Pelodiscus sinensis: one gene and its partners. The protein of the gene in region 2 purifies or fractionates together with the protein of the main gene of each other region. This does not show direct contact. Links are inferred from orthologs where the notes say so. Each region holds a gene or a part of one and is shown on either strand. Other genes may lie near its edges.

Region 1 (3,742 bases), on a different chromosome or scaffold from region 2:
CTGTGGTAAATGGTGCCCAGCTGGAGCCTGCATTCCCAATCCTGGCCCCAGTCCTGAACCCCTTCTGCACCCTAAATTCCTGCCCCCGGCCGGATAAAAGAGAGTGAGGCTGGGGGAGGGAGGACAGAGCGAGCAGGGGCAGGGCCTTAGAGAAGGGGGGGGAGGGGGCATCGGGGCCACAGAATACAAACCCCAACCTCCTCCCTCGGTTTTCTTCCCCTCCCAAGGGGCCGCCCCCCCCCAGCCCTGCACGCCCCTGCCCGGGGGACTGCCCCCCCTCTAGCCCTGCACGCCCCCTCCCCGGGGGACGGCCCCCCCCAGCCCTGCACGCCCCCGCCCCCGCCCGGGGGACTGCCCCCCCTCTAGCCCTGCACGCCCCTCCCCCCAGCCCTGCACGCCCCCGCCCGGGGGACGGCCCCCCCCAGCCCTGCACGCCCCCGCCCGGGGGCCCAGCCCCCAATAGCCCCCCCGTAGGAGCAGAGCCGCAGCCCCGGAGCCCGAACCTGCCCTGCGGGGAGACGCGGCTCGTACCTCTCCGGCCGGGTCCAGCTGAGGAGGCTCCGCGCCCAGGCGGCCCCTGCAAGAGCGAAGCGGGGCAGTTAGCGAGGACACGGCGGCCAAACCCCCGCCCGCCCCGCTCCCCTCCCCTCCCCTCAGACTCACCCGCCGCCGCCGCCATCTTCCCCGCTTCGCTTGGCGGCACGCGCCCCCCTACGCATGCGCAGGGCCCGCCGCGCGCCGGGGTCAGAGGTGACGTCGCGACCGCGTGCGGGCGGCGCTTGGCGGCAGCGCCTGGTAACGGTGCCTCCGGCGGGCGCGGCGCCTGGAGGGGCTGAGGCGCGGGGGCCATGGCGGCGGAGCGGGTCCTGCCCGCCTCCCCCAACTGGTACTGCGGCCGCTGCAGCGACACCTGCGGGGCCGGCCGCCTCTTCGGCTTCGGGGCCCGGAACAGCGTCTACCTGCTGGAGATCGGCGCCGCGCCCGCCTTCCACGGTAGCCCCCGGCGGGACCCGCCTCCCCCCCCCCCCGAGAGCCTGAGGGCAAGGAGCGCGCGGTCCTTCCCCCCCCCCCGAGAGCCTGGGGGCAAGGAGCGCGCGGTCCTCCCCCCCCCCCCGAGAGCCTGAGGGCAAGGAGCGCGCGGTCCTCCCCCCCCCCCCGAGAGCCTGAGGGCAAGGAGCGCGCGGCCCCCCCCCCCCGAGAGCCTGAGGGCAAGGAGCGCGCGGTCCCGTCCCCCCCGCGGTCCCGAGAACGAGCACGGGCCCCGAGAGCCTGGGGCAGGGAGCACGCGGTACTCTCCTCCCCCCCGCCTTGCAGTAGCCACGCGCCCCACCGCGGAGCCCGGGCACCGTGGGCGGCTGCAGGGCTCGGCTGCTCCCCGGTCCATGCTCGGGCGGGAGGCTAAAGCGCCCTCGGCCTCCGCAGGGCTCCCCCGGGGGGCCCCGCTTCGCCCCAGTGTAAATGTGCCTCGCGCCCGTTTTGCTCCAGCCCGCTCTGTGCCTGCGCCCGCGGGTCTGTCCCGCACGTGGGGTGACTCAGCCGGGGCCAGGCCGAGCTGGGGGGGGTCTGTACTGCAGTGAAACTGCCTCCCCCCCTCCGAGTGTGCTGGTTATTGCTTTTAATTCGGTGTAGGAGTGTGTTGAAGTGCATGGGATGTGAGACCCCGCTGTGAGAAACCAGCCCGCAGCCGCGATCTCCCAACTAATGTGGGACCTGTTGCAGAGCTCTCACAATCAGCCTGATTCTGAGAGAGGTGATGGGTTGGCTATTCTGACGCAGGCTTTGTCTACACTAGAAAGTTTAAAGTGCAGCTGAGGGCAGCACTTTAGTGCTGAAGTGTAGCTGCAGGCGGAGCCCTAAGAGCTCTCTCAGTGCACTAGGGCAGGGCTACTCAACTTTGGGAGCCCCGGGGGGCCAAAATGATACTTTGCATATGCATGCAAATAGCTTCTTTCACACTGACGGGCATGAATACAAAGATTAAGGCAAGACTACACTACACGCAGGCCCCATTAAAGTCAGTTCTGCTGCTATTCATAAAATGCAATATTTACCCCATTTCCACCCATATGACCAAGGCTTGACAAATAATACAATCTACTTGCCCCCGGAAGAGCTGGGTTTGAGCAATCAGCACCGTGGTTCGGCGAGCCCTGCATATGACAGCACTTTTAATGAGCAATGACAGTCCAGGAATGTAACTACTAAAACACATAGCAACAGAAGACCATTATATTGACTCGTCATTGTAGTGCGTGTTCCCGGTGGAGGCCATGTTCAAAGGATCCCACCCGCAGGCTGTGTGTCGAGCCCCACGTAAACCCAAACCACACCACAAACGGGCCACGTGTTGAGTAGCCCTGCTCTAGGTAAACCACCTCCACTAGGGTCATAGCTAACAGCATGGCTCCCAGCGCTGTAGCTCCGTTTACAGAGGTGCTTTACAGTGCTGTAACTTGTTGTGCTGGAGTGGGGGAGGGAATAGGTGTTTTCTCACACCCCTGATCCAGACAGTTGCAATGCAGTAAAATTCAAGTGTAAACTTAGTCTTAGACACTCTATCAAAAATATTTTTGTCTAAATTTAGAAAAACATTTGTGTTTCTGAAGCTAGAAAGTGTTGTGTGTAAGTCTTTTGCTTTTGTAATTGTAGGGGAACTGGTAGGCCATACAGAAAGGGTTTCTGGTTTCACGTTTTGTCACTATCCTGGTGAAAGCAACTTCTGTGCCAGCAGCTCTGATGACGGAACTGTGAAAATCTGGGATACGCAGAAGCTGACTCTTGTGACTGAGCATACACTGCATCAGGTATAGTAGCCAACCACTGTGCCTGTGAAAAAAATCTCTAAAACAAGGTTCCAAAATCTTTTCTTAGGTCAAGACAGAGTTGCACTAATTTCTCAATGCCTGTCAAATCGCTAGAAACCAAAAGAGATCCATGGTCCAATTTGCAAACTGAAACTGTAGAATAGATCTTTGAAAGCTGCATTTGTTTAAAAACTCATTTAAGTGACCTAATTTGCCTTTCTTATTGGAAATAGCAGAGGCACTGTATGTTTTGCTGTACAGGCAGTCCCCGACTTACGCAGATCCGACTCGCACTTACGAACGGGGCTTTCTCGCCCCGGAGGTCGAGGTGGCGGATTGCTACCTGCGAGCTCCGGGGCGAGAAAGCCCCGTTCGTAAGCTGCTCCGGTGCCCCTGGTCTGCTGGAGACCGTCTCCAGCAGACCAGGGGCACCGGGCGGGTTCCCGCGCTTCTGAGGCTTTGCTAGAGCAAAGCCTCAGAAGCGCGGGGAACCGCCGCTGCTGCCGCTTCAGTCCCGGTGCCTGTGGTCTGCTGGGGACCGTCCCCAGCAGACCACAGGCACCGGGACTGAAGCTGCAGCCGCTGCGGGGTCCCGCACCTCTGAGACTTTGCCAGAGCAAAGCCTCAGAGGCGCGGCACCCCGCTGCGGCTCTGCTCCCCGTGTCCCTGGTCTGCTGGGGGGGGGGGGAGCTAGTGTGCCCTCCCCCCCCCCAGCAGACCAGGCTTTTGTTTTGGACCCTGGGGCAGAGCAGATGGGGTGCTGCTGGGTTGCTGACCAGCACTGACAACAGGAAGCCCGAGGCAGAGTTGCTCTGCCCCGGGCTTCCTGGAATCAGCTTCTGATTAGTTTCAGCAGCAGCTGACTTGGGGACGCCTGGGGTTCTTAAGTTGATTCTGTATGTAAGTCTGAACTGGCGGTCAGTTTCAGCAGCGGCTGA
Region 2 (3,742 bases):
AAAATACTGTCTTATTCTCTATCCCTTTCTTAATGATTCCTAACATTTTGGTTGCTTTTTTGACTGCTTTTTTCACTGGGTGGATGTTTTCAGAAACTTAATAACCTTATTAACAAAGATTCATAGCAAAGCAACCCATAACAGTATCACCATCCCACAAAGATTTCACATCTCTCCCCAGGTGAGGTTTCCACCCCAATCAGCTCCTGGTTCCTGAAGAACAAAGAACAAGCGGCCCCTGCACATGTGGAAAAGGAGGCTACATGGCCAGACCAGGGATCCCATGCGATAGAGGCAGTCCCTCAGGGAGAGGGAGGCACTGTGCAGTGGTGGGGCACTGGGTGGCTGATAGAAAGTAAGTGACCATGCAGGCACTGAGCATGAGCAAGTGCCTGTCCTGTCTGGGAGCCATGCTGGGCTCAGGGACTACCCAGAAACAAGAGCGCCCATGCAGGAGGGGATGTGCATGCCGCTGCCCCTTTAAGCGCAATTAGTGAGAGCTGCTGCCTGGGCGAGAGGAAGGGGTGTTGGCTCCAAGAGGGGTGAATTTATGAGGTGCCAACCCATGGGTGGGCAGTGACAGAAACCACATGCCACTAGAAGCTGGCCCCAGCCAGCAAAGCTCCAGTGCAGCCGCCTATGCGCTCTGCGCGGGGGGAGATAGGGAGGAGGCTGCTGCTGCGGCGGCGTTGCACAAGGAGCAGTGACAGTGCATGGACTCGGTCAATTCTTTCCGCAAGCTGGTATCCCCATCAAGTAGTGAAATATCCAGCAGGGCTTTTTGGGACATTTCACTACTTGATGGGGACACAGAGACAGAGTATTTAAAATCAGGACAGTGTCAGAAAATCCGGGACGTATGATCAGTGTATACATCCAGCACTCCCACTAAAACACCACAGCATGGTATCAGCATTTTTCAAAGCATTACAGGAACTTGCTCTTGTTCACCCAGGCCCTTTCCTGACTGTTCTTCCACACCTGGTTGCTGTTTGTGTCCAAATGGGATTCTCTACAGGCCCCTATGCAGGAATTTCTGTGGGGGTGTATGCTTTGTTTGTAAATGTGGGCCACAAGGGTGTGGATATGCCCCCGTGTTTCCCAAGTAAGCGGGGAAATCAGCTCCAGCCTTCCCTTGGCTAGCCAGAGCATGGGGCAGCAACCCGCTGCTGCCTTCCTCTGGCCAGCCAGAGCATGCTTCTATGGGGTACCTGCTTTTTGCACCCTTCGCACCCTCCCCCCCCCGCATAGGGGCCTGCTCTAGGGCACTGCCCCACCAACTGGCGTGACAGCGCTGGCTCAGAGCCTTTGGGAAGAAGGGCAGGGGATGGCCGAGGCACAACAGCATCTGGGCAAGGACCAGAAACACGAAAATCACCCGGGGAAGAGCCTGGGCCGGCAGGAGGCCTCCTGTTGGCCCTGACGGAAGCGGTTCGGACGTGCTGCACCTAAGCCCGGCCCACAACTCTATGCAGTGAGTGAGACACGTGGGGCAACACGGGGACCGCTCGGCCTTCCACTCCCGACCTGGTAAGGCGGCGGCGCAGGCGTGCTAGAGGAAGGAACGCGCGAGGGAGAAGAGCTCATCGATGATTGGGCGCGCGATATATCGATTGTGCGAGAGATCGACTCTTGTCGTCTGCGTGTTCGGATGAGGTCACGCCAGCGCGCGGCTTGGTGCGGCGCTGAGACCGGTGGGAGCAGGGTGAGGGACTGGCCGCTGCGGCCCCGGGGCACCCAGCAGCGCTAAGCCCGCTGGGGGGCGGGGGAGCTCGCCTGGGTTCGCTTGGGGCTGGCCCCTAATGCCCATGGGCTGCGGGGGGGGGCCGTTGCAGCGGTGGGGGCGCTGGGTGGCTGAAGGAGGCCGCTGTTGGGGAGGGTGTCGGGGGCTGCGGTTGGCTTTGTGGGGGGGGGGGGGAGGGTGATGTGAGGGCCTCGCTGTTTACACGACGAGTTTGAACACGACGGAGCGTTATTGCTGAGGGGCAGTCCAGGGATTACGGGACATCTCTTGTCCACACGCAGCTTGGTGCTTTCTCGGCGGCTCCTCCCTCCCAGGAGATGGCCCTTTGTGGGCACATGGCCGTGTGTGGCTTTAGAGGGGTAGCAGCCCTGTTAGTCGGTAACGCTGAAAACAGCGAGTAGTCCCTCGCTCCCAAATATATATGGTATCCTGAGCTTTCATGGGCAAAACCCGCTTCGTGCCCACGGAAGCTCTTGATGCTATACGTATTTTTATTAGTCTTTAAGGGCTACTTGTTTTTCATATATGGTTTTAAAACCCCCATGTGATAGAAAGGGCTTCCTTTTTGCTGTGGAGCGAGGCAGTTCTGATACCATTTTATATAGCCTGATGTTGGCAACAGGTATTTGATCTAAACTAACAAAAACTCAATCTGTTATTAAGAATTCATCCTCATAAATGGAAAGTATTTTAATAGATTGTGCTTGTTTTTCTAGGCTGTTGTGTAAGCAAGTTAGAAGATGGATATCAGACCAAACCATACTGTTTACATCAATAATATCAATGACAAAATTAAAAAAGAAGGTATGGTTAAATTAAAGTTTGTATTTTTTTATCAGCATGTTGTGAAAACTCAGTAAAAGTATGGTATTCTGTCTTCAAGAGATATAGTCTAGACCAGCGTTTTCCAAAGTGTGGTCCACGGCCCAGTACCAGTCCTTAGGAAAAATTATTGCACACAATCTTATTAATTTGTGTGACGGGTAGCAGCACTCTGCACTGCCGAGTGAGGCGGCGTGGCCCTCTTGGGAGAGACCCACCGCCGTGGTATCTGCTGGGCATGCTCCCGGGCGGTGGGGCTAGATCTGACAGGTGCTAGGACCCAGGGAGAAAGCCGGGCACACCGATGCGGAATGCCAGACGCAGCCGGGGAAGCCGGCACCGGCCAATGAAGCAGCTGAGATTGGGGCCGGAGGGGGCGGAACAATCTGCCGGGTACACCGAGTCAGAATACCCGGCACCGGATGCAGCTGAGGGAGCCGGTGCCAGTCGATTAAAGTGGCTGTGATTGGGGCCGGAGCGGTGGAACAACCTACCGGACAGGTAGGGCCAGTGACACAATTTATTTGCATATTCATCATTTGCTTAATGAATATGCAAATATGTTACCAGTCCTCCAAAAGCTTGTGAATGGGTTTACTGGTCCCCAGTAGCAAAAAGATTGGGAACCACTGGTCTAGACATAAAACGTAGGCGTGTTTGTGGTATGGCTAGCCCAATGGAATCCCAATTACAGATGTTAGCCTATAGATGTGTAAACGATTAAGTCTAGGTTTATCAGTTCATCCAAATGACTACATGCAGCACCCCCTCCCTGCATCCAATCAAAGTGCTACTATGATTCAGTCAGGTACACCTCACAAATTATAACTAAGAACAGTTAAAAAAACTACCCTATCCAGAGAGATCATCTTAGTGGGCCACAAGATTGTTGTAACTGACATGGAGGACCACTCATGCAGCCCATTTGCTAGACTAGATGCCCATTGGTGACCTAACCACTATCTGCTCTTAGCATCAACTAGTCTTGTTTGGGCCTGCTGTTGCTCAGCTTTCTGAACTCAGAAGCTTCTGGTAGTACAAGCACTAACTTCCAGTGCCGCTGCAATCCTCTCCCTCGCCTCTATCAAGGCCTTGGTCCCACTGTACATGAGGATTGGTGGCCACCATATCCAAGTCCTTGGAATATTACCACAAATTAGACACTGCAGGGAAGTC
Region 3 (3,742 bases), on a different chromosome or scaffold from region 2:
GTTAATGCATCTGGGAACAACGCACACGTTTAGCTACAATTACGTAGCCAATCGTTAGATCGGCAGCTACAGCCATGAGCCGTGGATTTAACCGGGATTAGTACACCCGACAGATTGCAACTCAACTTTTCCATTGACCTCCACGCCAGGTACTTTGTACAAAATTTGGTACAACAATGGTACAAATGGCTGTTGTCAAACATACAGTACCATAACAGGTCGGGGTCATGGCCTGGTTGCTATGGCATAGGTCAGGGGTCAGAATCTGGTTACCAAGGTGCAGGTCAGGGGTCATGGCCTAGTTGCTATGGCATAGGTCAGGGGTCAGAGTCTGGTTGCCAAGGTGCAGGTCAGGGGTCATGGCCTGGTTGCTATGGCATAGGTCAGGGGTCAGAGTCTGGTTACCAAGGTGCAGGTCAGGGGTCATGGCCTGGTTGCTATGGCATAGGTCAGGGGTCAGAGTCCGGTTACCAAGGTGCAGGTCAGGGTCATGGCCTGGTTGCTATGGCATAGGTCAGGGGTCAGAGTCTGGTTACCAAGGTGCAGGTCAGGGGTCATGGCCTGGTTGCTATGGCATAGGTCAGGGGTCAGAGTCTGGTTGCCAAGGTGCAGGTCAGGGGTCATGATCCAGTTGCCACGGTGTACGTCACATGTCAGCATCTGGTTGCTAAGGTGCAGGTCAAAGGTCATGGCCCGGTTGCTATGGCATGGGTTGGAGTCAGGGTGCGGTTGCCATGGTATACGTCATGGGTCAGGGCCTGGTTGCTATGGCGCAGGTCGGGGGTCAACACCACGGCGCCAAGAGCGCCGCCGGCGACGAGTATTATGGTCTGCCTGGCCCGGGTTCGGGCGCTACTTTCCCTGCGGCTGCGGAGGGATCAAGTTCCATCTCCGCCCCTTCCGTCAGCGCGCGGCCTCGCGCCTCCTTGCCCCGCCCCGAGCGAGTCCCGGCCGCGCAGGGATTCGGACGCGGTGACAGGGACACGCATGCGCAGAGCGGGCAGGGAGCAGGCCCCGAGCAGGCGGCAGCGGGAAGAGCTGAGCGCGGCGCGGCCGGTGAGGGGGGGGTCGGTGAGGGCGGGGGGACCACGGGGTGGGAGGCGGGGCCGGGGGGGAACTGGGGGGAGCAGGAGGCGGGGGGACCAGTTGGGCGGGGGGAAGTGGGGGAGCAGGGGGCGGGGGGAAGTGGGGGAGCAGTGGGAGGGGGGAGGGGCAGTGGGGGAGCAGGGGGCGGGGGGAAGTGGGAGGGGGCGGGGGGAAGTGGGGGAGCAGTGGGAGGGGGGAGGGGCAGCGGGGGGCGGGGGGCAGTGGGAGGGGGAGGGGCAGTGGGGGAGCAGGGGGAGGGGGGGAGCAGGGGGCGGGGGGCAGTGGGAGGGGGAGGGGCAGTGGGAGGGGGAGGGGCAGTGGGGGAGCAGGGGGAGGGGGGAGCAGGGGGTGCGGGGCAGTGGGAGGGGGGAGGGGCAGTGGGAGGGGGGCAGTGGGGGAGCAGGGGGCGGGGGGCAGTGGGAGGGGGGGGAGCAGGGGGCAGTGGGAGGGGGCAGAGGACGGACAGGGCTGCCGAGGCGTTGGCTCTCCTGAAGGAGATGGGAGGGGGGTGCAGCTGGGAAGCAAAACCCCAGGAAATGAGGAGTTTAGCTGGCCCCTAAGCCCGCTGGGTTATGGCAGGGGCGGGGGGGGGGGGAGGACACACGTGGCTGGAGGGAGTGTGTTTGTTGTGGGATCTAATGATCTGGCCTCTCTTTCCTCCAGCAGATCTCCCAAGATGACGCAGTTCCTGCCCCCCAACCTACTGGCGCTTTTTGCCCCCCGGGACCCCATCCCCTACCTGCCCCCACTGGAGAAGCTGCCTCATGAGAAACACCACAACCAGCCCTACTGTGGCATCGCACCGTACATCCGGGAGTTTGAGGTGAGCTCACCCCCCAGTAGGGCAGCGCTGATGGGGCGGGGAGGAGCTAGCTGCCTCCAACCCCCCTTTCTCTACTGTAGAGCTTCCTGGCTCCTCCATTTCTGCCCAACTCTGCCACTCACCCACTCAATGCCCTGCTAACATAATTCTCCCCCATCCAGGACCCACGCGATGCCCCTCCGCCCACCCGTGCCGAGACCCGTGAGGAGCGCATGGAGCGGAAGGTATGGCCACCTGCTAGCATAGGGGTCAGCCCACCCTTCCCAAGGCATGGGAGAGTTATCTGGGTCGCCCCACAAATAACCTGCTTCACTCTGTGTGGTGAAGGGCAGAGCTGCCAGGTTCTCTTCTGGCCACCCTTGGGTATCCCTTCTCCTATATAGTCTGGTGATTGAACCTTGGGGCTGGGAGCCAGGACTTCTGGGTCCTCTCCCTGGCCATTCTGTTGTTAACTCCGTGTGAGGACTTTGGGAGGAGTGCCTGGTGTCCCAGCCTGTGAATTGGGAGAAAAACACTGCGGCGAGTAGCGAGGAGGAAGCAGTGAATTCGGCAGCACTTTGAGAGTCTCAAGGGTGCTCATGGCTAAGGCTTCAGAGCCCCCCTTGAGTCCCATCCTGAGGTCCCTCTCTGGAGCATCATTGTGTGGAGTCCAGTCCTGTCATTCCTTCCTTCTGAGGTCCCTCTCTGGAGCATCATTGTGTGGAGTCCAGGCCTGTCACTCCTTCCTTTTCCTTCCTGCAGAGACGAGAGAAGATTGAACGGAGGCAGCAGGAGGTGGAGAACGAGTTGAAGATGTGTGAGTGGAGGGTCCCGTCCGGGGGGGGGGGGTTGCTCTGACTCCCACCTCAGGGGCAAGTCAGCAGCTGGGAGGGTGAACGTGGGCTCAGGGTGGCAGCAGTTTGTTTCCCTGCTATCCGTTCCATGTGCCTATTCCTGATCTCTCCCTCCCCAGGGGACCCGCACAATGACCCCAACGCCCAGGGAGATGCCTTCAAAACCCTCTTCGTAGCCAGAGTGGTAAGTTCCTTCTAACTGCCCACCGCCCCATCCACGGGCACCTGCTTCTCCCCAACCCTGGTAGCAGCCATCTCAGCCTGTGCTCTGCCCCACAGAACTACGACACAACAGAATCCAAGCTGAGAAGAGAATTCGAGGTCTATGGCCCCATCAAGCGGGTAAGAAGCTGCTGCCCACAGGCCTTGCCTACAATGAGCCTCAAGTAGCCCGTCGGTCACAGGCCGAGTCGTGCCCAGGGAGACGTGCCAGGCCCTGGTGGGAAAACCCTGGCAGACAGAGTCCACTTACAAAGCCCCCTTGTTCCCAGTGCAGCAGATTGGCCCTGGGGAAGTGACAGGGTCTTCAGGACAGATGAATGCTAGGGTGGGGTGGGTGGTCCCCTTGACTTGGGAGTCTGCAGATCCCTTGGGTCGTAGCCTCTGTGGACTCCTGGACTCTGGCAGCTCAGTGCTGAGACAGTGGCTGTAACGCACTCTCGTGCGTGGGGTTTGGCCAGGTACCTGCAGGGCTACGGTGGGGATCAGCTGCACCTGGAGATGGGACGCCGGACAGGTCCCTGCTCAGGGGTGAACCCCAAAGCCCTTGCTGTGGGGCTTGTTTGCTTGCTTGGGGATGGGAAGTCCCCTCCATCCTTCCCCGGTCTGGTTGGCAGGGCCCTTGGGGGTGTTCCTGGCTCCCCCATTCTAGACCACTCCTCCCCAAAGGCTGTAATGAAGTTGGTGTGCCCTGCACCCCAGTTGGTGCTTGAGCTCCTCCCGCTGGCGTGCCAGGTGTTAACTAAGATGACAGAAGGTGCTATGGGGCAGTGGCTTGTGT

The links.
Region 1: the proteins of SNRPB2 (region 2) and GEMIN5 purify together in Homo sapiens (co-immunoprecipitation; 3 studies listed by BioGRID and IntAct, with this or other methods). This does not show direct contact. The link is inferred for Pelodiscus sinensis from reciprocal best matches to the Homo sapiens genes SNRPB2 and GEMIN5.
Region 3: the proteins of SNRPB2 (region 2) and SNRNP70 purify together in Homo sapiens (affinity purification with mass spectrometry; 5 studies listed by BioGRID and IntAct, counting the BioPlex papers as one, with this or other methods). This does not show direct contact. The link is inferred for Pelodiscus sinensis from reciprocal best matches to the Homo sapiens genes SNRPB2 and SNRNP70.

The regions. Positions count from the first base shown.
Region 1 is NC_134727.1:38,193,255-38,196,996, reverse strand, and holds the start of GEMIN5 (gem-associated protein 5), read left to right. Parts: upstream 1-780; 5' UTR 781-848; coding exon 849-993; intron 994-1,629; exon of another isoform or gene 1,630-1,701; coding exon of another isoform or gene 1,702-1,750; intron 1,751-2,649; coding exon 2,650-2,804; intron 2,805-3,742. Other genes in the region: MRPL22 (large ribosomal subunit protein uL22m), read right to left, coding at 532-577, 664-679. UniProt on the Homo sapiens protein: The SMN complex catalyzes the assembly of small nuclear ribonucleoproteins (snRNPs), the building blocks of the spliceosome, and thereby plays an important role in the splicing of cellular pre-mRNAs.
Region 2 is NC_134713.1:180,793,890-180,797,631, forward strand, and holds the start of SNRPB2 (U2 small nuclear ribonucleoprotein B''), read left to right. Parts: upstream 1-1,562; 5' UTR 1,563-1,705; intron 1,706-1,940; exon of another isoform or gene 1,941-2,366; intron 2,367-2,460; 5' UTR 2,461-2,484; coding exon 2,485-2,548; intron 2,549-3,742. UniProt on the Homo sapiens protein: Involved in pre-mRNA splicing as component of the spliceosome. Associated with sn-RNP U2, where it contributes to the binding of stem loop IV of U2 snRNA.
Region 3 is NW_027465870.1:64,326-68,067, forward strand, and holds the start of SNRNP70 (U1 small nuclear ribonucleoprotein 70 kDa), read left to right. Parts: upstream 1-902; 5' UTR 903-1,056; intron 1,057-1,749; 5' UTR 1,750-1,762; coding exon 1,763-1,909; intron 1,910-2,070; coding exon 2,071-2,133; intron 2,134-2,650; coding exon 2,651-2,705; intron 2,706-2,861; coding exon 2,862-2,926; intron 2,927-3,021; coding exon 3,022-3,084; intron 3,085-3,742. UniProt on the Homo sapiens protein: Component of the spliceosomal U1 snRNP, which is essential for recognition of the pre-mRNA 5' splice-site and the subsequent assembly of the spliceosome. SNRNP70 binds to the loop I region of U1-snRNA.